3 linked regions of the Lonchura striata genome follow. The protein of the gene in region 1 purifies or fractionates together with the protein of each later gene. This does not show direct contact. Links are inferred from orthologs where the notes say so. Each region holds a gene or a part of one and is shown on either strand. Other genes may lie near its edges. The genes, in order: KRR1, DDX24 and GNL2.

The links.
Region 2: the proteins of KRR1 (region 1) and DDX24 purify together in Homo sapiens (affinity purification with mass spectrometry; 3 studies listed by BioGRID and IntAct, with this or other methods). This does not show direct contact. The link is inferred for Lonchura striata from reciprocal best matches to the Homo sapiens genes KRR1 and DDX24.
Region 3: the proteins of KRR1 (region 1) and GNL2 purify together in Homo sapiens (affinity purification with mass spectrometry; 3 studies listed by BioGRID and IntAct, with this or other methods). This does not show direct contact. The link is inferred for Lonchura striata from reciprocal best matches to the Homo sapiens genes KRR1 and GNL2.

Annotation. Positions count from the first base shown.
Region 1 is NC_134607.1:46,815,218-46,822,728, reverse strand, and holds the start of KRR1 (KRR1 small subunit processome component homolog), read left to right. Parts: upstream 1-4,223; 5' UTR 4,224-4,247; coding exon 4,248-4,359; intron 4,360-4,798; coding exon 4,799-4,977; intron 4,978-5,449; coding exon 5,450-5,584; intron 5,585-5,849; coding exon 5,850-5,975; intron 5,976-6,074; coding exon 6,075-6,158; intron 6,159-6,746; coding exon 6,747-6,803; intron 6,804-7,298; coding exon 7,299-7,469; intron 7,470-7,511. UniProt on the Homo sapiens protein: Part of the small subunit (SSU) processome, first precursor of the small eukaryotic ribosomal subunit.
Region 2 is NC_134608.1:15,321,993-15,330,181, forward strand, and holds the start of DDX24 (ATP-dependent RNA helicase DDX24), read left to right. Parts: upstream 1-4,853; 5' UTR 4,854-5,109; intron 5,110-5,765; 5' UTR 5,766-5,772; coding exon 5,773-6,499; intron 6,500-8,189. UniProt on the Homo sapiens protein: ATP-dependent RNA helicase that plays a role in various aspects of RNA metabolism including pre-mRNA splicing and is thereby involved in different biological processes such as cell cycle regulation or innate immunity.
Region 3 is NC_134628.1:4,706,333-4,713,666, forward strand, and holds the start of GNL2 (nucleolar GTP-binding protein 2), read right to left. Parts: upstream 3,282-7,334; 5' UTR 2,804-3,281; coding exon 2,740-2,803; intron 2,658-2,739; coding exon 2,573-2,657; intron 1,055-2,572; coding exon 960-1,054; intron 58-959; coding exon 1-57. UniProt on the Homo sapiens protein: GTPase that associates with pre-60S ribosomal subunits in the nucleolus and is required for their nuclear export and maturation.

The sequences.
Region 1 (7,511 bases):
CACTCACCCTCACTCTCATTTTTACTCCCCTGTGTCTATCTCAGAGGTCCTGCTGCAGCTTGCCTTGGTCTGGTGTTTGCTTTCTGATAATTCACAGAGGCTCAAGTCAAGACAAAAGCCTCATTCTGTCAGTCACTGTATGAATACATGATTAGGCACATTCCCTGCTCCAAAGACCTCTTATCTAAACTTGCTGGTTTGATTTCATGACACTAAATTCCTTTCCCAGTTTGGCTCTCATCCTTTTCTTGTCCCTAAACTGACAGCAATTTTATTGCAAGCAAGTAATTTCCCAGACACAGCTATGGTCTCTTTTACCCATAGGTTCTTTCTTCTTATTCTGGGTTCTTCTTTCTGCCACAAATTATCTTTGCTTTGCTATTCCAGTCAGGCCTTTAAGATGCATTTATGGTTTACAGTCCTCTAATTTTCCAGATCCTTGTTACTCTTAGGGTTCAGCAGGAACTGTCCTCTCTGCTCTCTTTCAAAGGGAAAGATGAACTCTGCTTGCTGGGGCATTTCCTGAGCTTTCCACAGAGAAGACAGCAGCCCCACCTCAGTGTGTTCCTGCCAGGCCAGTTTGCAGTGGACACCAATACCATAATCTATGAGCACCTCTGCAGATCAATGGATTCCACAGCAAAGACAAGAACAAAACAAAACCAGAGAAGTGACTCACACCAGTGCCCAGAGAGATAAAGGAAGAAAGAGAGGGAGACAGAGAAATGACACCACAACCTCATCTGCCTGAGGGCACAGAGGTCATGTTAGCCAGGGAATTAAACAAAATGAACTTTGCTGAGGGTGGCTGGGCAGGATGAGTTTCTGTTTGATTATTTAATTCTTCCAGGCTACCTCCAGGGTCAGGTTACCTAATTTTATTTCAATAATGAAAGTATTATGAAAAAGAAATTATATGAGATTATTTATTTTCCATCCAATCCAATGAATTGGTTTTGGTGGCTAGTTTGAATGCTATTTTGACCACTTGACAGGTTTTATACAAAATACCTGGTAATTTAAGATCCTGTTACACCAGCAGAAAATCTCACTTACCCATGTGTCTCCTGCCCTGTTGTAAACCAAAAGAATTAAGAACACCCTAAGCCAATTCTCTATTTGTTTGAATCTGTAGTTATTCGAAAACAATTGTCTAGTTATTTGAATCAAAAGGCAGTATTGATTATTTAATTATATAGAAATTATCCAGATGCTTAGCATTTACTACAGATTCATGACTATCCCAGAGCAGTTAAATGCCCTTCTTGCTGCCATCAACAAAAGCTACTTATTAATCCCTAGAAAATGGCTTGCTAACAATCATAAACTGCTGTTAAAAGTTGATAAATAGATAAAAGTGTCACATGGATTTATGAATGCTAAGGCTGAATGGGATCTGTGTGATGTTTCTAGCAAATTAATGCCATGTGCAGGAGCTCATCTGATTGCTTGAATTATCAAAAAATCCCAAGTTGCTCTTTTGGATTGGAAAATGGCACACAAGAAAGTGCCAAGTGGCTGGAGTCCTAGCTACTGACTGGGAAATAATTTGCTGCATAATAAAGAGGCACCTTCCTTCTAACAGCAGTGCTCTGCCCTATTTATTGTATCATATAAATGTGTGTAAGGGAGGCTGTGTTGTTTCACTTTTTTTTTAAGAGGAAAAAACATTTGCACATAGACACACACACACAGAGCTGAGCCAGCTCCTCCCAGGTACAGCAATGGCTCCAGCAGGTGTTGGGTTTTGCTAGACTAGGATTTGTACTATTCAGACAAAGGTCTTCGAGACCTCTGAGAAGGTCTCTCCATGCCCTTCTTCGGGAAGGTCTCTCCATCTTCTACCCACACTGAGCTGGATAGAACAATGAACATGATAAGTGCTGTCAGTGAAAGGTGGTTTTGGAAAACGTTGCTCCTGGGAGGGCATGCAGACCCTGGGGGAAGGGGTGGTGGAGGGCAGGGATTTACAGCATGCAGCAGCACAGCATTCCCCCCACATGTGGTAACTGTGCCCCACCACTGCAGAGGCACTCACGCTGTCCCTCCTGCCTGGGAGGGAGCTCAGCTTCAAACCAGTGTGCAGAGGACCCTGGTCCTGAGGGGTTGCAGAATCCTCGTCCCAGTCACCTGGACAGCAGTGTCAGTCCCTGTCCCCTCAGTACCCATTGTCCCTGTAGCTAGCTGTCATCAGCTTCCTAACCCCACTGAATGAGCAGTAGCTGGTTATTGCATTTGAGCTGTGAATAGTAAAAATTATATACACATGCATTGTCTGGAGAAGAAGAGCAGGTCTGTGGGAACATCCTGATCCTATTAGGAATTTAGGGAAGTGGCTTCCTTGTATCCAGCCAGACTGCAGATACTGAGGTAAGAGGAGAGATGAGAAATTACTGTCTCCTTCAAAGAATCAGAGGTGGGGACCTGAGGACCCTTCTCAAATCACATCTTCCAAGTTTGTTAGCATTACTGCCTCTATTTTCTGTTATTTTCAGTGTATCTGTGTTAATCAGGCAAAGAGACATTTCAGAGCAGCACTGGACAACAGAGGGTTGCCCATCGTTAGAAAAGAACTCACAAGGCCCCAGTCCCCTGCCCCTTACCCCACACACCATTCACTTCTCCTCCAGCACAGGGCCTCGGGGGCTCGGTAAATCCCCTGGAGCAGCAGCTGGCCAAGGGGCTGGGATGCAGGAGAGGAGAGGGCACATAAATGGGCTGTCGCTGCCACTCAGAGGTGTGGGATGTACCTGTGCAGCAAGACACTACTCTGGAGGTTGGCAGGCTGGAGGTTGCAGCCTGTAATTTTTATTCACACTCAACACTCTATGGATGTTGAGTGTGAATAGCAGCCTCTGTAACTCCCTCCTCTCATCCCATCAGGAGGCTTACTCCCACTGCCCAGCGCTGAGGGCATGCCCCTTCCACAGACCACTCCCGTGATTTTTTTGGCGGGCTGCACCACAGGAGTCGCCAGGCACTAAACAGGAGCAGAAGTAAACTAAGCATCCCCCCTCAAACTATTTCCAAATCAGCTTTGCTGTGCTTTCACACCGCGTGGCCAGGTTTCAGGTGGGAGAGACGCACACTGTGCGCTTCACTGCGCCGCCCCCCCAGGATCCCCGCCCCTCCCTTCGCATCCACCGGGTGCCCGTAGCCGGGCAGAACCCCCTCCTGTGCTCAAAGGCTTTTGCAGCGCTGGGGAATACCCGGCAAGCAGCCCCAGAAAGCTTCTGTGCCCAAGAGGTGAGAGGGGCAAATTTGCCTCCCCGAGCTCCTCCAGGGCTACGGAGCTTTTCGGTGTCAATGGCATTCGGCCTCCAAAGCCCGGTGCCGGGCGGGGCGGGGCTGCGTGGGCAGAGGGGGAGCACATCCCCAGCGCCTCCCTCCCTCGCTCCCGGTCCCGCCCGGGCGCTCCGCTGAGCGCGGCGGCCGTGCCATCTAGCGGGAGCGGGGATGGACACCCTGCTCCCAGAGCACCGCCGGCACCCCCTGCCGACGGCCTCCAGGGCTCCCCTTTCAGCTTCTTTCCTCTTCGGGAACCGCTCCCGCCCCTGCTCGAAGGATGTTGACAGAAATTAACGTCAATGGCTAAAAGCCTGCATCAATTCGATGTCAAGCTGCAGACAGCAAGGACCTGGCAGGTCCTGTTTGTTGTGGGAGATGGGGGTGCGCAAAGGGCTGGCAGATGGAGCAGGCAAGGAAAAAGAGTTCCGTAGGAAAGGTTTTAGGAGGGTCAAAACTGATTTTTAAATTAATATTTTACTCAGGTACAGATCAGGTGATAGAAATGTCTTTCTCATCATTTAGGTAATTAAATGTCATAGAGTGCCGGTTTTTATGAACAGATGCGGTGAACACCTGCCAAAGAAACCACCGTCCTGTCTCGGAGTGTTCTTGCTCTTAAAGATCCGCCAGTTTTTCACCCCATTGGCTTTTCATGGCCTCCACAAAAGAGAGCGAAGGAGGCGCATTCTTGCTCTTTCATTGAAGGAAACGCTCAGTTACAGGTACAAGAAAAGGCATGGAGGAGGATGCAGAGCATCGCCCAGAAAACCTTAAACTACTTATTTACTATCCAGATTAATCGACTGAACAGTAAGTAATTAATCTGGAAAGCCAGGTGTCCCCGGGAAGCGCTTTTCTCCAGGTACGAGAGCGGAGCAGGCGGGCACTCCGCCCCGCCCCTCGCGCAGCGCGGGGCCAGTTCCGCGCGCCGCCCCGCCCCGCCCTTCCGCCGCGCGGACATGGCGGCCGAGCCCCAGGAGGAGGCCGAGCCCCAGGAGGAGGCCGCGCCCGGCCCGGGCCCCAAGCGCAGAGACAAGCACAAGAACAAGAACAAGAAGAAAGCGGCGCCAGGTGAGGGCGGCATGCGGGACTGGCGGCTGGCCGGGAGGGCCGCGGGGGCCTCCGTGGGGCGCTGCAGAGAGTACAGGCGGGTGGGTGCTTGGGGCCGGCAGCGGCGGTGCCGTGCTGCGGTGCTCCTGCCGTCGAGGTACTCGGCTTCCTCGCCTCAGTCTGTGCCTTGTTCCTGTGTAATATACTTGAGTAATCGTCTTGTATATGCCAGATCAACAGCGCATATCTCAGCTGCGGATTTCTTCTTTTTTTTTTTTCTTCAATATAAAGACTTTAAGGCAGTAATTTTTCTAAGATCAGAAGATATATGCAAACCGCACTTAACAGTATAGTTAATATAGTTACATTAACTATACTGTTAATATAATCTTCTTATAACAATGGCTTTTTTATATAATAATCTTCTTATAGCAGTGACTTTTTTTTTTCTTTTTAATAGCAGTTGATGAATCTGAACTCCTCACTGTGCCAGATGGATGGAAAGAGCCAGCCTTTACAAGAGAGGATAATCCCAGAGGGCTACTGGAAGAAAGCAGTTTTGCAACATTGTTCCCAAAGTATAGAGAAGCATACTTGAAAGAGTGCTGGCCACTTGTCCAGAAAGCCTTGGGTGAACATGTATGAACTCTTAATCATTGTGGTACTGCACTTTACATTTTGGGACATACAGGTCTTACTTAAGCTAATAAAAACGGTGCAAGTTGCTTTTCTCATGCCATGTTTGTAAATTTCTACTGTGCTTGCATCTTAAATTAGCAGTGTCATTTTTTGTCATCAAAATCGGTGAAGAGCTGCATAGCCAGACTTGCAGTTCTTTACAAATGCTGTCAGCAAAGTATTTGCAGTAGCAAATATCTCATCATCCAAGTACTGACAGCTTTATTGTGCTTGAAATCAGGAAGATAAGAGAGGTGGTGCTTGGGGCCTTATGACACATATAAAGTCAGGGTTTTGTCTCTCTGTGTGAATTTTCTTAAACTAAAAGTCACTTTAGAAATCTTGGAAAATAGATCTGCATTCAGTTAGTTAACTGCTTACTACCAAAGCTGAATTGTGATATTGAACTGGTGTTTCTTTTCAAATATTGTAGTATGTGAAAGCAGCGCTGGATCTAATTGAGGGAAGCATGACTGTCACTACCACTAAGAAGACTTTTGATCCGTATGCAATCATTAGGGCTAGAGACTTAATAAAACTTCTGGCAAGAAGCGTTCCATTTGAGCAGGTCTGTAATAAATCCTGAAAGTTTTTATCCATCATGATGCTTATATTTTGTCTTAAATTCTATTATAATATTATACTTAAATTCTATCATAGTACTTATAAAATACTAAGTTTTAAAAATGTGGGCATTTAAAGTGAGTCAAGTAAAAGAAAACATTAAAAGTAAATATATCTGAAAGTAAAGGTAGAAGAATAAACTGAAGTATTCTCTTGACTCTTTTGATTAATACATTTGAATTCAGATGACATTGCCTGCATTTCTTTAGGCAGTTCGTATCCTTCAGGATGATGTTGCATGTGACATCATTAAGATAGGCTCTCTGGTGAGGAAGAGAGAGACTTTTATAAAAAGAAGAGCACGACTTCTTGGGCCAAAAGGATCTACTCTGAAGGTATTTCCTATAGGTGTAGTAACCACACAATATTGAGACCCAAATTTGTGTTAGGTCTTAATATAATACTAATTTCTTTTCTTTTTTTTTTTGGTGTAGGCCCTGGAACTGTTAACAAACTGTTATATTATGGTGCAAGGCAACACTGTTTCAGCTCTTGGACCCTTTAGTGGGCTAAAAGAGGTAAGTTGAGGTAGATGAGCCATTTGTGTAGCAAACAAATTTCTGTGCCAAGCTCGAGGGTGGACGATACACAAAATCTCTCAACCTCAGCGGTATCTCACTGACTTTTCAGCTGTCTGTTAGTAAGCTACATTTACATGAACGTCCATAGTATTAGCATCTTAGCTGCTGAGTTTTCTTTAGACTCCAAGATCTTTCTGTCTTGGCAAAAAAAAGCATCTGTATGTATTTTAATAACTATGTGAGAGAAGAATGCTTATCAAAAGCAAGTTTCTCATGACACCATAAGATCCATGGTAACATGAAAATAATGTTTGTGGGGCCTCCTGGAGTCTATTAGAAGCATGACAATAGTATTGGCATTTTTTAATTCCTTCTGGTTAAACCCTGTGCTTTAGCTTTTTAAAGGCTGGAATCAATGATCTTGGAGAGCTTCTCCAACCATAATGGTTCTGTAATTTTAATTCTTACTATTTTGGTGAGGCAGAGGCAGGAAGAGGAAGCACAATATTTTATAGGTGATATTTTAAGTGATTAGCATATGAAATACTTGATGAGCTTTCTGTTCTTCTTTTGTATTTAATACAGGTTAGAAAAGTTGTTCTGGACACAATGAAGAATATACATCCCATATATAACATCAAGGTTAGCATGGTCCACTGTGCATCTTTATTTACAAGAAAATGCTATTTATTCCCAGAGGGTTGTATGTTAAAAATTTAGATGTTTCTGTGTGGTAATCTATTTTGACGATTTCTGTAGTGTGCTGCTCTATAAAACCTAGTGACTTTGATAAACTTCATTGTACTAGAATGCATTGCCATAACACCATCATGGCAGCATCTGCAAAATCAAAGGAAGAGTTTATACAAACTTTCTACTTTGATTCTTGGCTCGATACTTGCACATTTAAACTGAAGCGCCTTCTCCAGTGCATTCTGTCCCTGTTTTGAGACCTCTTTCTGGTTCTGCTGTTCATAATTAAGCCCCTCTGCTCTTACTGAAGTGAGATATGGAAGTTTTGAATGTAGCATATTCACTCTAAGAAAGTCATGTAAACTTCTGTTTTGGATTTCTTGGCCTCTACTGTAATACTGTTTGTCTTCATAACTTCTTTGTGATGTTCTGAAACCACTGAAGACTTTGATGATCAAACGGGAATTAGCAAAAGATCCTGAACTGAGGACACAAAGTTGGGAAAGATTTTTGCCTAAATTCAAGCGGAAGAACTTGAAAAAACGCAAGGAGCCCAAGAAGAAAAATACTAAGAAGGAGTACACACCATTCCCACCTCCACAGCCAGAAAGCCAGGTCAGTTGAAACTTTATTTGGTTATGCAGGAATGTAGCACAC
Region 2 (8,189 bases), on another chromosome or scaffold:
CTTGCAAAGAATGAATATCTGTACAGGAGTTAGTTTACCAAATATACAACATTGGCAGCTCACAGTTAATCTTATGGTCAATTACTACTGTCATCCACAGTGACCTAAAATTAATTAAGTCCCATCTTAATGATATACATTCTCAGTATTAGCTTTAGCTGAATAGTGCTGTACTTTGGATAATACAATTCATCCAATTATACTGGTCCTCAAGGTCTTTTCAATCGGCCTTGTATCATAATTCTCCTTTGTATTAATAACTGTGTCATCAGCAAATTTAATATTGTATCACAGTTATTCATTAAATAAGAGTAGTCCACAAGACTTCAAGAAACTCAAGCAAACTCCATACAGCTGATAGGTTAATCTATCAATATACACACCAATGTGCTCCCCCAAAAGAAACGTGCATTTCCCTTCCTCTTTAGCCAGCTTCTTTCCCCTTGAAGTTCCATGCTATTCCTTTTTCCCCTATGAAAAATATTTTGAGGTTGTCCAGACAGATTACATGTGCTTTATTTTTCTGCCCAGAAAACCAGTTACCCTCTTAAGGGACATGCCTTGATTTCCCATTTCCCCTTGGTTAACTGTTGTACTACAACACGAAATAACTCACACACTCAATTAGGATGTAAAAGAAGGAAAAGAAGAAGTTTTATTTTTGACTTTGTAATATATAGAATTTTAAAAGTGATAGTGGATTGGAGGAAGAAATTGTTACTTCTCTAACGACACTGGTCAAACTAACAGTCTATTAATTCTCTCATCTCACAAAGGAGAATGAAAAACAATTATTATTTAAATGAACAGTGTGTGAGAACTCTAGTAGAAATATGTAAACATCAGAAGGCATAGAAAACTTCTAAAATAACTTTAAAACTTTTAAAAGAACAGGGCAACAGTTAATCAATATGGACTTGTATTTAATTTCCTGTTATCTTCATAACTTCCTTCAGCATTATTCCCTTGAAGATACATTCTGAAGTATCTAGTGCATCTGACTGCATTTGCAACCATTCCAAATGTTTCTCTCATTAAATGGAGTTGTCTTTGCTATTCTTCAATCACACAGAAAAATCTTCACCTTGATAAATCTGTACTTGAAAAAGTCTTTGGTACTAAAACTAGAGTTAAACATGCCAGTACTCTTAAATTTCATACTTACAGAGTATCTTATTCTCCTGGCTTTATGAACACATTCGCTGAAGGAGCAGCATGCTGTCTGACAAAAGGCTTCATGCAAGTGAGTAAGAAATGCATTTGTGAAGCTGGAAGAACAGAGAGAAAGTAAAAAAAGGCAGCATAGGCAAAGGGGTATGTATTTTCAAATGAGGTTTGACAAATGGTGCTATGCCGTAAGATTTTGTCAGTCCTAGAATAGTATTCCAGAACTTCTGAAAGTGACAACAAAGAAACAAGGCTTTACCTTGCCACTTCAGGACCAGGACAAGCAGCCTCACCTGGCTACATAACGAAAAATAAAAAAGAACAAATTTTACAGTCTGCAAAGCACAGGAGGCATCAGGTCTCCCACTGGCCAGCAGCTGCATGTTCTTCAGGTGCACAGTGCACTGTGAGGATTAATATAAATCACAGTACAGTGACATTCTTTTGTCAGCAGAAATAGCTATCCAAATCAGTAATTAAGCACATACTGACATTCCTGCAAGACACACACAAAAAAAAAAAAAAAAAAAAAAAAAAAAAAGAAACCAAAGAATCTGATTACTAAGTGAAAGCCTACATCAGTTGCTGACACGCACATTTAACTGTTCCTCGTGCTGAATTCAGTTACACTAATCCCAAAATTAAAGAATTAAAGGTACTGGTCAAAACATTCTCTGCCTTAAGCATTCTTAGGAGAAGTCTTCACTATTTTATAAAAAAATCAAAATATTAATTGAAAAAACATATAGTATCTATTATGTAATACTGCACAGAAGGGACCAAACCACAATCCCTGGGCTACTGATCTGCAGGAATGTAAATTTACAGCTGGGAAGAACAGGATCTGTTACCAGGTAAAACTCTGTAATGAGGACATCAAACCCTTCAAGTTCTCTTGGGCTCTCAGGCATACTGGCTTAAATACCTTGGAAACTATTGATAAAGTAATAAAATATGCATGCACTGACATGAGTTATGCAAGCAAATGACATAATTCCTTAACTTATTAACACGGGTTATTATCTTCAATTTACAATTTCCTTGTATTTAAATAACTGTTGATCTAAAGACGCCCTAGGGGTGTAAAGCAGACCTGTTTCATTTGTCTGATTTGTAGTTTTACCAAGAGTTCACTCTGTACTGTCAATAATGGAATTGTATTTACCAGGAGTTTATCAGCTGACTCTGTTAGGACACGAAGCTGAACTCATTGACAAAGCCTTGTCACAACATACCAAAGCTGGGCCTCTTTCAGGTCACAAAGGCTCAGAAGGATTAATGTTACAAAGGCTTAGAAAGATTACTGCTACTGTAATACTGAGCAAATGTTTAGTTCCCTTGGTTATCCCATTTCAAAGCAACTCAACCAATGGCTCTTGTACAACGAGTTCACACTGTGGCAGTGAGAAAGTCACCACGTCTGTGTAGGCTGTTCTGAAGCTTGTTGCTTCAGGCACGTCCCTTCTTTCAAATTGAGTTGGAGGGCCTATAATTCTGTCCCTCAGTCTAGAATATAGAGCTCAGTACTGATCAAGAAGAAAATCAGCTGCAACCCTCACATGAATTCTTAGAAAAAAAATCAGAATACTCCTATCTCCCATAAAAACATGTCCACAGTTATATTAGAAAGCATAATTCAACATAATTTGGCAAATCATTTCCACATTAAATCTTTCATCAGGACAAAGCTGCAAAGTTCACAACTACAACAGGACACGTAATTATACCTAGGAGTAACAGCTAAGAACTTTTCTGCCCAAGTTTTTTTCATTATTTTTATTCAGTATCGGTGGCAAGTCAACCACACCAAAATTTCAGAGTAATCTGTTTCTTTTGCTTCTGCAAATTTACTTTTGCTTATAGGCAGTAAATAAGAAGAGAGAACATGAAAAATATTGTAAACAAGCTTTTTTGTCACTTGTTTTGAATCTAAGCAACCTGTAGGGAAGGGTACTTTTAATGAAGGAATTAATGAAGAGTGCTGAGACCTCTCCTTAAGGCTGGCATTAGCATGCAGCCCCAGTTCCCATCAGAGAGACAGTCCTGTTGGCCATCACTGCCTCCAGCTCAGTACTACATAAATCAGGTTTGATGGCTGTACTGTAAAAGGTATCAGGTAAAACACGTAAACATGCACACCAAGAAGGGGGAATCTGAACTCTGTAAGTGCCCCAGAGCTGAGGTGGGGTTTTTTGCCACGTGCCAAAGTCCCTGGCTCAGCTCACAGGGCAGCAATGCTCACTGTGAGGGCAGAAGTGACACTGCTCCCTCCTGACTGGCAGCCTGACCTTCCCCTCTCTGCCACAAATCCACTCACCAGGACAACTCCAGCAACGTGTCCTCTCTGCCACAGAAAGAGCTGTTTACTCACTGGGATCTGTTCTACACACAAAAACCAGCAGCACTATCTCCATCTCCAAAGGCACGTTGCCCTGGTATTTCTATGTGGGAAGAACAGTATTTTGCACATTTTTGGGGGAGATTTCTAAGTATTTGAGACATGTTTAATGTGCACAAGACATATTTACAAGCACATAAACTCAAGGGTATGTAAATATTTCTGTCCAGACAAGCCTAGGAAAAATTCTAACAAGACTGAGTAGTGCCAACAAACACACTTAATCCTGCTCTAATAATTAGATAATTAATAAACTACACTGATATATTTTACATTAACTATACCATAAATGAATTACAGGGGAGTTCCTGCTCTCTGAACTCACTTTCTGACTCACTGATTTAAACTCATCTTATACAGAACATCAGGACCAAGCATCAAAAGCTCTTTAGCCTTGCTCATGGAATATGAATTGGAATAAATTCCACATATTGTGCATTGGTAAGTCATTAATTGTTGCTGTGGAGGCAGGATGGGAATGAAAATGACTCTAACATCAGAAGGTAAAGAGTGAAAACCCTTATTAACAACTAGTGTTCTTCTTTTATAACCAAGGTCGCTAAGGTGAAATATGATTGGTCTCAGGTGAAAACTTTTCACACCATTGGTGCACTATGAATAGCACACGGTAGCAGAACATATCTATAAGCAACATGAACAGAAAGAGGTAACAAGTAGTTTACATTCCTCTCGGACTTTTTCCCAGGCTTAGCCTGGCAGAAATCTCTCCTTTTCTCTCTGACTGAACTGAGAGCATCCATAATTAATGACTACCTGGAACTGAAAAAAAAAAAAAAAAAAAAAAAAAAAAAAGGTAGAGAAAACAACCATCTGTTTTCCCATCTTCTCGCAAAGCCGGGAAAGACCTGCAAATACCAAGTAGAAGAAATAATTGTAAGTGTTGCTGTAATTGTACTCGAACATACTGTCGCAGTCCCTATCACCCACAAAGCTCGTGGTTTTTAACTCTCTCCCCGCCTCACAGCAAGACGCTCTTCTGAACATCAGCCAGCCCTTTATAAGAAATAAGAACCATCCATTACAACTTATTTCGCTGTCTTTCTACGGCACGATACGGCTGGGAAGCGCATGGATCACACAAGAGGTACAAAGAGCCTTGCCGCGACCTCGGTGGCGCTCGCTCCTTCCCTGCAGCTATTTGCAACACGTAACTCCACCCGCAAAAGGCATTAACACAAGAGCACACCAGCGAGCGCGAAGAACAAGCCTCGGTCACTGCCGGGGCAGTGCCGCTGAGGCGCAGCCGAGGGCGCGGGTCCAGACCCGGCTCCGGGCCGCCATTCCCGCGGCCGCTCCCTCAGGATCGCTCCCGGCCGGCGCCGCGCCTGACGCCGCGCGCCCGTGACGTCGCTCGCCAGTGACGTCGCTCGCCAGTGACGTCACGCAGCAATGGCGGCGCCCAGGGGCGCACGCGGAGGGTGGCGGCGGTAGCGGCAGCCGGGCCGGGGATCCCGCTCCGCTCCCCTCTCCGCTCCCCTCTCGGCTCCTCTCGGCCCCTCTCCGCCCCGGGGCTCCTGAGCGCGGTAAGCGCCGCGCGGGCCGCAAGGAGCAAGTGCCCGGAGCTCCCGCGTGTGGCGGCGGAGGCCGTGCTGGGCCCGCCGCGGCTCCGGTGGTTCCCGGGGCGGGAGCGCTGCGCGGCCTGCTGCGGGGATTTATCCAGCGGCTCTGCTTGTATCTCTGGAGGTGTTCCAGGAGGGACGCAGGAGGCCTGGCCTGCCTGTTGTATTTAGTTATGTTATAGTTATATTTAGTTATATTACAGTTATATTATTATAGTTATAGTTATGTTTAGTTAGTTATATTATTGTATTATAGTTGTTTAGTTAGTTATATTATATTATTGTATTATAGTTGTTTAGTTGTTATAGTTGTTATAGTATATATTATAGCTGTTATAGTATTATATATTAATAGTTGTTACAGTTATATTTAGTTATTTAGCTATATTATAGTTTGTTATACTTTAGCTATATATATGCTAGCTCGAAGTAATATATAAGTAATGATACTGATATAATTAAAGAAGAAATAAGAATACTATATTATATCTTGAGAAATATATTTTAAGAAGAAACAATTATTCCCTGGGCTCCCGTTTGCTTGAATATCAAGGTGGTCTCCAGTCCTTGTATTTGAAGACTCTTTTTTTTTTTTTGCCTCCCTTGGTTTCTTTTTTTAGATAAAAAATGAAGGCCAGAAAAGGAGGAAGATTTAGGTCTTCCTTTAAATTGAAGCGAAAAGGCATTGAAGTAGTAGGAGAATGGAAAACCGTGCAGATTGACCCCAATCTATTTGCTGAGGAGGAGTTTCGAGATATAGTGTGCTTGGAGGAACTCACAGACTATAAGTTAGTAAGTTCTTCCAAAGTGGGGAAAGTAAAAGAGAAGAGAAAGGCTGAGACTGCTTCTGAAGAAGGCAATGAGGAGGTGGAAGAACCTGTTGTCCCTCCAAAAAGGAAAAAGAAAAACAAAGATTTGAGAAGCCAAACAGATAAAGACAATACTCATAATGCAGCAGAAATGGATGTGCTGGTTGCTAAAGAGGCAAGGTGTAATGAAATAATTGAAGAAGCTAATTGTGAAGACCATGGACCAGTGACTGAGAGCATGTCAAGCAGAAGAGACACTACAAAGAAGAAGAAAAAGAAGGTACCTAAAAACAAGGCTTTTCAAGCACAGGAAGCCCTTCCATCAGTAGCTACTTCTAAAAAAGTCAAAAACTGGACAACAGAAGTTTTATCTGCCTCAACTGATCAAAAAGCTGATGTGTCTGCATGGAAAGACCTGTTTGTACCTGAGCCAGTGTTGCAGGCGTTGAGCTACCTGGGGTTTAGTGCTCCAACTCCCATTCAAGCCTTAGCCTTGCCTTCTGCCATTCGGGATAATATGGATGTTCTTGGTGCTGCAGAAACAGGTACAAGTCTGTTTAGCTGATGGTGTATGCTGGGAGCATCCAGTTTCTTTTCTTAAAACGTAGCCTATGGTTGCAAGTTTTTATATGCAGAAGAAGCAGTTTTTCAGTATTGTAAGAGAAGAGCTTTTGTCTTTTGCATTTACAGTGTATTAGAGTTTTCAATCTTTGAAACTTACATGTTTGTAAACATTGGGATTTAGAGGTTCATAAACTTACATGGTTAAACTTACATGTTTGTAAACAATGGGGACTCCCATCTTTACAAAGCATGCAAAGCTTTGCAGTCTCAACGAGTTTCTGTGCTTTTGGCAGAAGTCTCTTTTCCTGTTTCTCAGACTGTTTCCTGTTTTGGGAATGGTAAGGTGATATTCTGCAAAAGGCAGAATTAATGAAGCAAACAGGGTCGTTTCTGCAGCAGCCAAGCACGTGCTCCCAGGTTCCCGTGGAGATAATTCATGCTGGTGTGGAGCAGTAATAAGCACTGGGCACAATGTTAAGTGTGAATATGACCCAGGTCCTACTCAGAGCAAAACGGGCCCACCCTGTGCTCTGCCCCCAGGCTTTACCTTTATGTTGTCACCAGCCCTTCTCCCTGCTTGTGCTTAAAGTGAGTTCTTACATTAATGATTTGAGGGGTAGAGTCATGTCCATCGTGTGCTCAGCTTATGCTTCAAGTATTCCTAGCCTTCATGAAATTTATTATAGCTACTTGTTTACTTAATGCTATGAAGTCTCTGAAAATTATGTTCCCTCAAACTTTGTTGGTGGTTCATAGCGTTGAACTTTTGTCTTTAGCAACATTTTTTTCCCCAAAACACCTAGAAATAGGAAGCACAATTAGAAGCTACCTTGGTTAAAAAGCTTCCCTTACACTGTTTTAATCTGTTCCAGTTGCTTTATCTCAGTGCTTCTATGTAAAGTCATTTACTGCTCTACAGCAAGAAGGTAACTAAGATATGCAGTCATTTGCATTTTTATTTTAATTAGAAGCTGTGTTGATACTATTAGCTTTAGTAAGATTAGAAAGCCCCCGCAGGGAGTGTTTTTAAAAATGGAACTGAAAATTTAAATGATGTTTTTGTACTGCAAAAAACTGCCATTTTGGCAGCACTGGTAAGCAAATTCCTCTCTAGCTGCAGAATGGAAAGCAGGGTTGTTGGCAGGCTGTGTTGTTGCTTTATAATTTTGTATAACCCTGAGGTAGTAGGAATGTGTTTTGCTCATTTATCTTTCATGAGTGAAATCCAGATTCTCTCCAGAGAGTCCATGGGATCATTGTATTTCTGTAGAAACTTAGGAGATGTGGACAGCTGCCTTCAGGAAGTGCTGCAGTTGGGAGAGGTTGAAACTCTCTAGTTCTTTTTTCTGCATCCTGCAGCACCTCTTAGCATTGGGCCTGAGGGAGGAATATGCAAAGTTAAAAAACTAATAATATTTTCTAGTAGCAACATTGGGAAGACTGGGAGGATTTTGATAAGGCAGTAGATCTATATGCAGATCAGACAAAGGGAATGTCAAGGCTTGTTTTTGCAGTGGGTCTAACCTTTGCTGTTCATTTCTGTGTAGAACTAGTAAAGTTTCTGGTTAAGGAGTTAAATCTGTGTGAAATCATACAATATGAAACTGTTTAAAAGAGCACAAATTGGCTTGAACTGTAGTACCAAGATATTCCTTCCTCCTGGTTTTGCAC
Region 3 (7,334 bases), on another chromosome or scaffold:
TCTCCATGTCCTCCTGGAATTTCTGTAGGGATGATTGCTTGATCACACGAGTATTTCCTGAGTGTAAAGAACAAACACTGCACCTGGCTGTTCCTGATCTCATCTGCTCCAACTGGGGACATAATAAAACATCAACTTTCCATCTAGGAACAAAAAGACCACTGAAAACTCAAAGGGTTTTACTTGAAACCAAGCCCAAATAGGCAGCCAATCCCTTTCTTTCCCACCATTTATAGGAAATCTAATTTAAAAGTATCTCTAGGACATTTAACAGCCATATATATGGGCAAACCATGGGGAACAAAAAAGGAGCCAAAATAATCATCCTTAGGGGAGTGTGTGGAAAGCAAAGCCCCAAAGCACAGGTACAAGCAAGGGGGAAAATGATGCTTAGGATTTGAGCTTTTCTATTTTCCATTTATTTGTAATCCTCTAGCTCTTTAGTGCATAACTCCAAACTCCACGTGCAGTGTGAGCTGCTGCTTTCCCATTTGGGGCAGACACAACAATTCCTCTCCAGGCCTGGCAATCAAGGACACCTCACTGCCTCAGGCCCTGAGAGATGGAAACAAAAGTGAGTTGGGGGGAGCAAACTTGGGGTAAATGACCTCATTAGCTGAAGCTGTAATTGGAAGATGCACCCCCAATATGCAAATAGACCAAACATATTAGAAGTATGAAAACCTGTGATCCATTGTCCATTTTTGGGTGTAGCCCCTTGGGCGGGCTTTGTCTGCCTGAAATGTACCTGAAACCCCTTCAATGAATAGAACTGCTTTTTATTGCCTTAATTTTGTCTGTCCCCTATTTTTAGGTAGCCCCACAAAGCATCAACAGCAGCAGGGGTCCCTCACCTTCCCTCACAACTCTCAAACCACCATTCTGAAACAAACACCTTGCAACACCCTAAGTTCAACAGCTTTGAAGCTTGCTGAGCCTGGAAATTGGCCAAAACTCACCAAACCATTTGATATTTGGTTCCACTCTGGCCACGGTGCCTGGCGCCACGGTTGACTGAAACTGCAGAGGTTTGATCACTTTGCCACGCTTGTTCCTAGGGGACAAATGAAGACACATCAGTGCACAAAGGGCAGCAGTGACCCCTCCAGCCCCTGTGTGCACCGGGCCAGAAGCAGAGGCACAGAGTGCAGAGGGACCCTTCCCCTGCAGTGGTGCTGCCCTGCATTCCATGGGGGTGAATTATCCCAACCTGTGGTCTCCTCCAGCCTGGCCAGACCCTCCCTGCAGCTGCTGGTGCAGCCCAGGAAGGGCTTTTGGGGCTGCAAAAGTTGCTGTTTTCTGGAAAATCTCACTGTGTTCCATCACAAAGCCTTTTAACCAGTTCTGCTCACCCGCTGACACAGGGTGGGACCTGGTTTAATTCAGCAATATCTCAAAATCCCTTCCCCCATCTGCTCTGCAAACAGTGGGAAATTTGGCAAAAAAACCAAACGTGCTGATGCAAAACAGGGCTCTCAGAACTGCCACGGCACAGACTCGTGGGTGCTGCTCCCTGCCATGGATCTCTCAGTGTGGCACAGAGGGGAACAGGGGGATCCTCTGTGGAGGTGCTGAGGGGAGCTGAGGCTCTCCAGGTGTTTTGGGGGCAGCTTTTGAGCTGTGCTGCTCTGGGAAATTCGGGAATTCTGTGTGCTTTGGGTCTCTCCACACAGATGTATCAAGTATTTTCCGGCTGTATCGCTGGGACCAGAGATATCCCTGGGCTGGGGAGAGCTCGGGATCAGGCTGGGGATCAGGCTCGGGATCGGGCTTGGGACCAGACTCAGAATCGGGCTCGGGCTCAGGATCGGGCTTGGGACCAGGCTCGGGACCAGGCTCCGGATCAGAATTGGGATCAGGCTCAGGATTGGGACCAGGCTCAGGATCAGGCTCGGGATCAGGCTCAGGATTGGGACCAGGCTCAGGATCAGACTTGGGACCAGGCTCAGGCTCGGGACCAGGCTCAGGATCAGGCTCGGGAGCAGGCTCAGGATCAGGCTCAGGATCAGGCTCAGGATTGGGACCAGGCTCAGGATCAGACTTGGGACCAGGCTCAGGCTCGGGACCAGGCTCAGGATCAGGCTCGGGAGCAGGCTCAGGATCAGGCTCAAGATCAGGCTCGGGAGCAGGCTCGGGATCAGGCTCGGGATTGGGACCAGGCTCAGGATCAGGCTTGGGACCAGGCTCAGGATCAGGCTCAAGATCAGGCTCGGGAGCAGGCTGGCGATCAGGCTCGGGCTCGGGATCAGATTTGGGACTGGGCTCAGGATCGGGCTCAGGACCAGACTCAGGATCAGGCTCGGGACTGGGCTCGGGACCGGGCCCGGGATCAGAGTCAGGCTTGGGCTCAGGACTGGGCTGGGATCAGATTCGGGACCGGGCTCGGGACCGGGCTCAGGATTCAGGACCAGACTCAGGATCAGGCTCGGGATCGGGCTCGGGACCGGGCTCCCAGCTCACGGGGTTACAGAACACACGCCGTGCCATCACCCAGGCGTTTTGTCGCCTGTCCCTGGCGCGGCCGTGCCCGGCCGGTACCGGGACCGCGGCCGGGCCACGTTCAGCTGCCCACCTGCGCTCCTTCTGCCGGTACATGTTGAGGCGCCGGATGGTCGCTCGGTCCCGCATGTTGTTCCCTCCCTCGCCGCCGACGCGATCTGCGGAGACAAGAGAACATCAGCCTCGGCTCGGCTCGGCCCGGCCCGGTTCGGCCCGCCCGGCCCGCGGTCCCGCCCGTACCGGGGTTGGTGCTGGCGCGGGAGGGGTTGATGGAGCAGCGGCCCTTGTAGCGTGGCTTCACCATGGTGCCGGTGTGGGTGCCGGTGCTGTAGGGGTCTTGGTGTGGGTGCCGGTATCGGTGCTATAGGGGTGCCGATGCCGGTGTCGATGCTGGTGTCGGTACTGTGAGGGTCTCGGTGCCGGTGCTGTGGGGGTCTCGGTGCCGGTGCTGTGGGGGTGCCGGTCTCGGTGCCGGTGCTGTGGGGGTCTCGGTGCCGGTGCTGTGGGGGTCTCGGTGCCGGTGCCGTGAGGGTGCCGGTCTCGGTGCCGGTGCTGTGGGGGTCTCGGTGCCGGTGCCGTGAGGGTGCCGCTCTCGGTGCCGGTGCTGTGGGGGTCTCGGTGCCGGTGCCGTGAGGGTGCCGCTCTCGGTGCCGGTGCTGTGGGGGTCTCGGTGCCGGTGCCGTGAGGGTGCCGGTCTCGGTGCCGGTGCCGGGACAGGCCCGGAGCGCTCGGGCCGGGCCGCGGACACGCGCGCGGCGCTTCCGGCGCGCGCAGCGTCTGACGCACTTCCGGCGCAGGCGGCGCTTCCGGGCCCGGTTGCCACGGCAACAGCGCGCGGGCCCGGCCGGGTCCCTTTGTGTCCCTTTGTGTCCCTTTGTGTCCCTTTGTGTCCCCCCGTGTCCCTCTCCCGTGTCCCTCTCCCGTGTCCCTGCGCGCCGTGGCGCTGCCCGTCTCCGGAGTGCCGCTGCCGGGTCCGGCCCCGGCCCGCGGGCTGTTGGAAGGCCCGGCGGGGCCGCTGGCACGGGAGCCCCCATGGTTTGGAAGCGGTGTTTGTTCGCTGGCACGTTAATGGGAGTCGTTCCGGAGAGCTCCCTGCCTCTGCTGATGGACTGGGGCGGCTGCTGGGACACTGGGGCTGCTGATGTGACACTCTGGTGGCTGGTGTGACACTGGGGTGGCTGGTGGGACACTGGGACTGCTGATGGGACACTGGGATGGTTGGTGTGACACTGGGACTGCTGGTGGTACACTGGGGTGGCTGCTGGGACATTGGGTCTGCTGGTGGTACACTGGGGTGGCTGCTGGGACATTGGGTCTGCTGGTGGTACACTGGGGTGGCTGGTTTGACACTGGGGTGGCTGCTGGGACAATGAAGTGGCTGGTGGGACACTGGGATGACTGCTGGTGGGACACTGGGGTGGCTGGTTTGACACTGGGACTGCTGGTGGGATATTTGAACAGCTGGTGGGACACTGGGGCTGCCAGAATAACACTGAGGCAGCCAGAGGGGCAGTGGGGCTGCTGGTGGGACACTTGAACAGCTGGAGGGACACTTGAACAGCTGGAGGGACTCTTGGGCAGCTGATGGGACACTGGGGTGGCTGGTGGGACACTTGAGCAGCTGGAAGGACTCTGGGACTGCTGGTGTGACACTGAGGCAGCCAGAGGGGCACTGCTACAGCAGAGACTCAAGCACAAGGCAGTGCTGGTGGGTGTTTACAGGCACACGGGGCTGTTCTTTCTGGGTTACTGGCAAAGAATTTTAAAAATTAGCAATAACAGCACTGCGTGTTTTCCTGTGCGGGCAAAGCACTGCGTGGATGGTGCATTAACAAATCAAATCTGTGCAGCTCTGTGTCCAAGGCGTAAGCCCTCGTTCTGCTCCTGCCAGATTGTAACAGCAATTTGCAAGCTCCTCACCTAGGGGAAATGAACGAAGCTGGGCTGAAACAGTGTTAATTGATAGCAGAGCTTGGGCTGGGGCCAAGCTCAGCACCTTGGGGAATACTTGCCCAAAACACAGCTCTTATTAGCAGCAGAGCATTCCCAGCCAGTGCAATGTCCTTCTGGTGCTGCTAATGCTCCTTTAAACCCAGAACAATAACAGAGCTGCTGGGATTTTGTTCTCCTAATGATTTTCAGCGTTTTGCTGTGAGGTGTAGAGTCCCTGCTGTACAAGGGAGCCATGATGAGTCAGGCCTTGGGACATGTTTTGTAAGACTGAGTCTGGAGCTGGAGGCTGTTTGGCTTAAGCCTACACATTCTGGTTTTTCTCTTAATAGAATTATCTGTGCCTTGGGCATTGAAAAAGTACACATTGATGTGGGCATAAAAAAATCAATTCCAAATTGTAGATAATTGTTTAAGCTATCAGACTCGAGGCTCATGCAGAAGAGTTTTCCCAGGACAAGTGTGTTTTCTATTAGAGTTGATATCAATCTGTCAGAAAAGCCTTTTGATTTTCAAAATTTTAGACTAAATAGTTGAGTAATAGTTTTGCTCTGCTCTCCCCAGCTCTTTCTTCCTTTCTCTTAAGAAAACTCCCTCTTCATTGTTAGCAAGAGATCTTGGGGAGCAGCCAGAAAGTCGCTGTCTCTTTTCTGTGAGAGAACAGACCCAGCCAGCTTTGGGCAGGAGGTTGTGGCAGGGAGAGCTTGTCTTGGGGATGCCCCAGAGTTGGGTGCTGAATTCCCAGGTTGGAGGCATTGGTGGGAGGGCTCAGACCCTTTACCAGCTCATAGGGGTGGGCTATGAACCTGGATTTTCTGTCATGAGATCCTACTGATAACGTGTGGGACGTGTGGCACCTTCCTGCAGCACTTCCCTCACTCTCACACATCCCCTGACCCGAATTCCAGCAGTTGGTGTTGAACTTGCAGCATCCCCGAGGCTGCAGCTGCTTGTGGATCTGATAACGTGCGAGTCAGATATTTTGCTCCACTAAACTGATGTTTTGTTGCTCTGTGACTCACAGTTTGCTATTGATGCATCCCCCCATTTCAAACTTTAGTTTTTCTCATTCTTTCCTGGCGACATTCATGTCCTGGCCACAGCCAGCCAGGACAACAGGGTCACAGATCGTTGTCCATCGCCTCTGCTACGTTGCCTCAGCTTCTCAGAACCACTGCCTGAAATAAAATCATTTTGAGTTTTATGTGGCCTCATCTTTGTCAAATCCCAGTGAATGTGGTTACGTGATGCCATTGGAATGACTCATTCCCATAATTACATATGTTCTGAGGGGTTATTCCCATTGTATTATTAAAAACTAGTGATGTTGGATTTTTGGCAGGGATGTCTTCCTCGTATGATCTACAGATTTTGTCAATTAAATGAAGGAAAAGTAGATTTCCAAGAGTTCAGAACAAGATCGGACTTGCACTCAGAGCCCTTTTTCAGTGTGGTATTGAGCTCCTCTGTTTCATTTAACAGGATAAAGCAGCCTCAGCCATCTTCCCCTATTGCAGCAGTTCCCTGCAGAGCACAAGGATGCAAGTGGATTTTGTAGCTCATCTCCAAAATCACAGCAGAAGATCTTGTAGGCAGTTTATCACCACAGCAGCTTTCCCAGCTCAGTTCCCCAGGCATGGCTTCCCAGGGATACAGCTGGCAGGAGCAGGATGGAGGTCTCCTTGGCAAAAGGCTCCAGGTGTGACAGTGTTGCCCTGATTCTTAAGATTTTCTAAAGCCTTCTAAGTTTACATTCTGTTAGAAAACTTTCCCACACATTTTCTATAAACAACCTATTGTTTTGCATTCCTTCGTGGGGGTGGAAGAAGTTGATGTATTAGTAGTTTGTACAATGTCTTTGGAGAGGTGACCCATTCACTCTCCAATCCACTGTCACCTTTGGAAAAGTATAAAAGTTGAAGTCAGAAAATAAACCTTCTTTTTTACCTTGCCATCGCAGTGGCTCGTGTTGTGCTTTCTCGTGTCCTATAGCAACATGACAGGAAACACAAAGTAATCCTGGGTTGTTGCCTTGAATATGGAGTTCCCAAAATGGTGACTGAAAGCAACAGGGCAGCTCGGGAGGGAGGAGGAAACTGAAGTCAAGAAAAAAGGCAGAAAGGTGTAAGAGGGCTTTGAGAGGCCAGGCTGAGCCTGGGGGGCTCAGAGCTGGGCTGCAGAGCCCTGGGCTTCACCCTGGGCACATCTGCCAGCCCCACGGGTCTGGGGTGCACCGGTGCTCCCGTGGGTAAAGCAGCTCAAGAGAACATTTTCCTGTGGTTTGATTTGAACAGCCATGGAAAGTAACTCCTGCCCTTACGGGCTCCTCTGTGGCCCTGTCAGTGCCTCCAAACCAGCGCTTTACCTCAGGCTGGAAATGACAATACACCACCTTCCTAGCTGCCTCTCTTTTCCTGTTCTTCAAAAATCCTGGAAATTTCCAGCAAGCAGCTCCATCCTAACGATGGTTTGGCATTCAGTTGGGTGTGATGTATTACCATGTACAGAAATGCCATCAGGGTGATTTATTGGTGGTGACTGATTAAATGAAATTGGTATTTCTGTACTTTTAATGTAGGTTTTGTAAATGTGATGCCTGTCATTTCTATCTGTGAAGTATATTGACTTCATAAAATATGTAAATATATATTTGAATTATTCCTGTTAGTGTTCTCAGACAATGTAATCCAAACAATAGTTTTGGAGATAACCTCTTTCACTATCCTTCTTTGTTTCCTTTAATCAAAGCTAAGATTTCTCCTGAGTGAGAAATCATTCAAACATAAACATGGGCTAAGGAGTATATACATTACCTCCACCTCTCTGGGGGTGGAAAGTCAGTGAATTACTGTGTGAGTAGTGTGTGTGCACACAGTTCATTGACT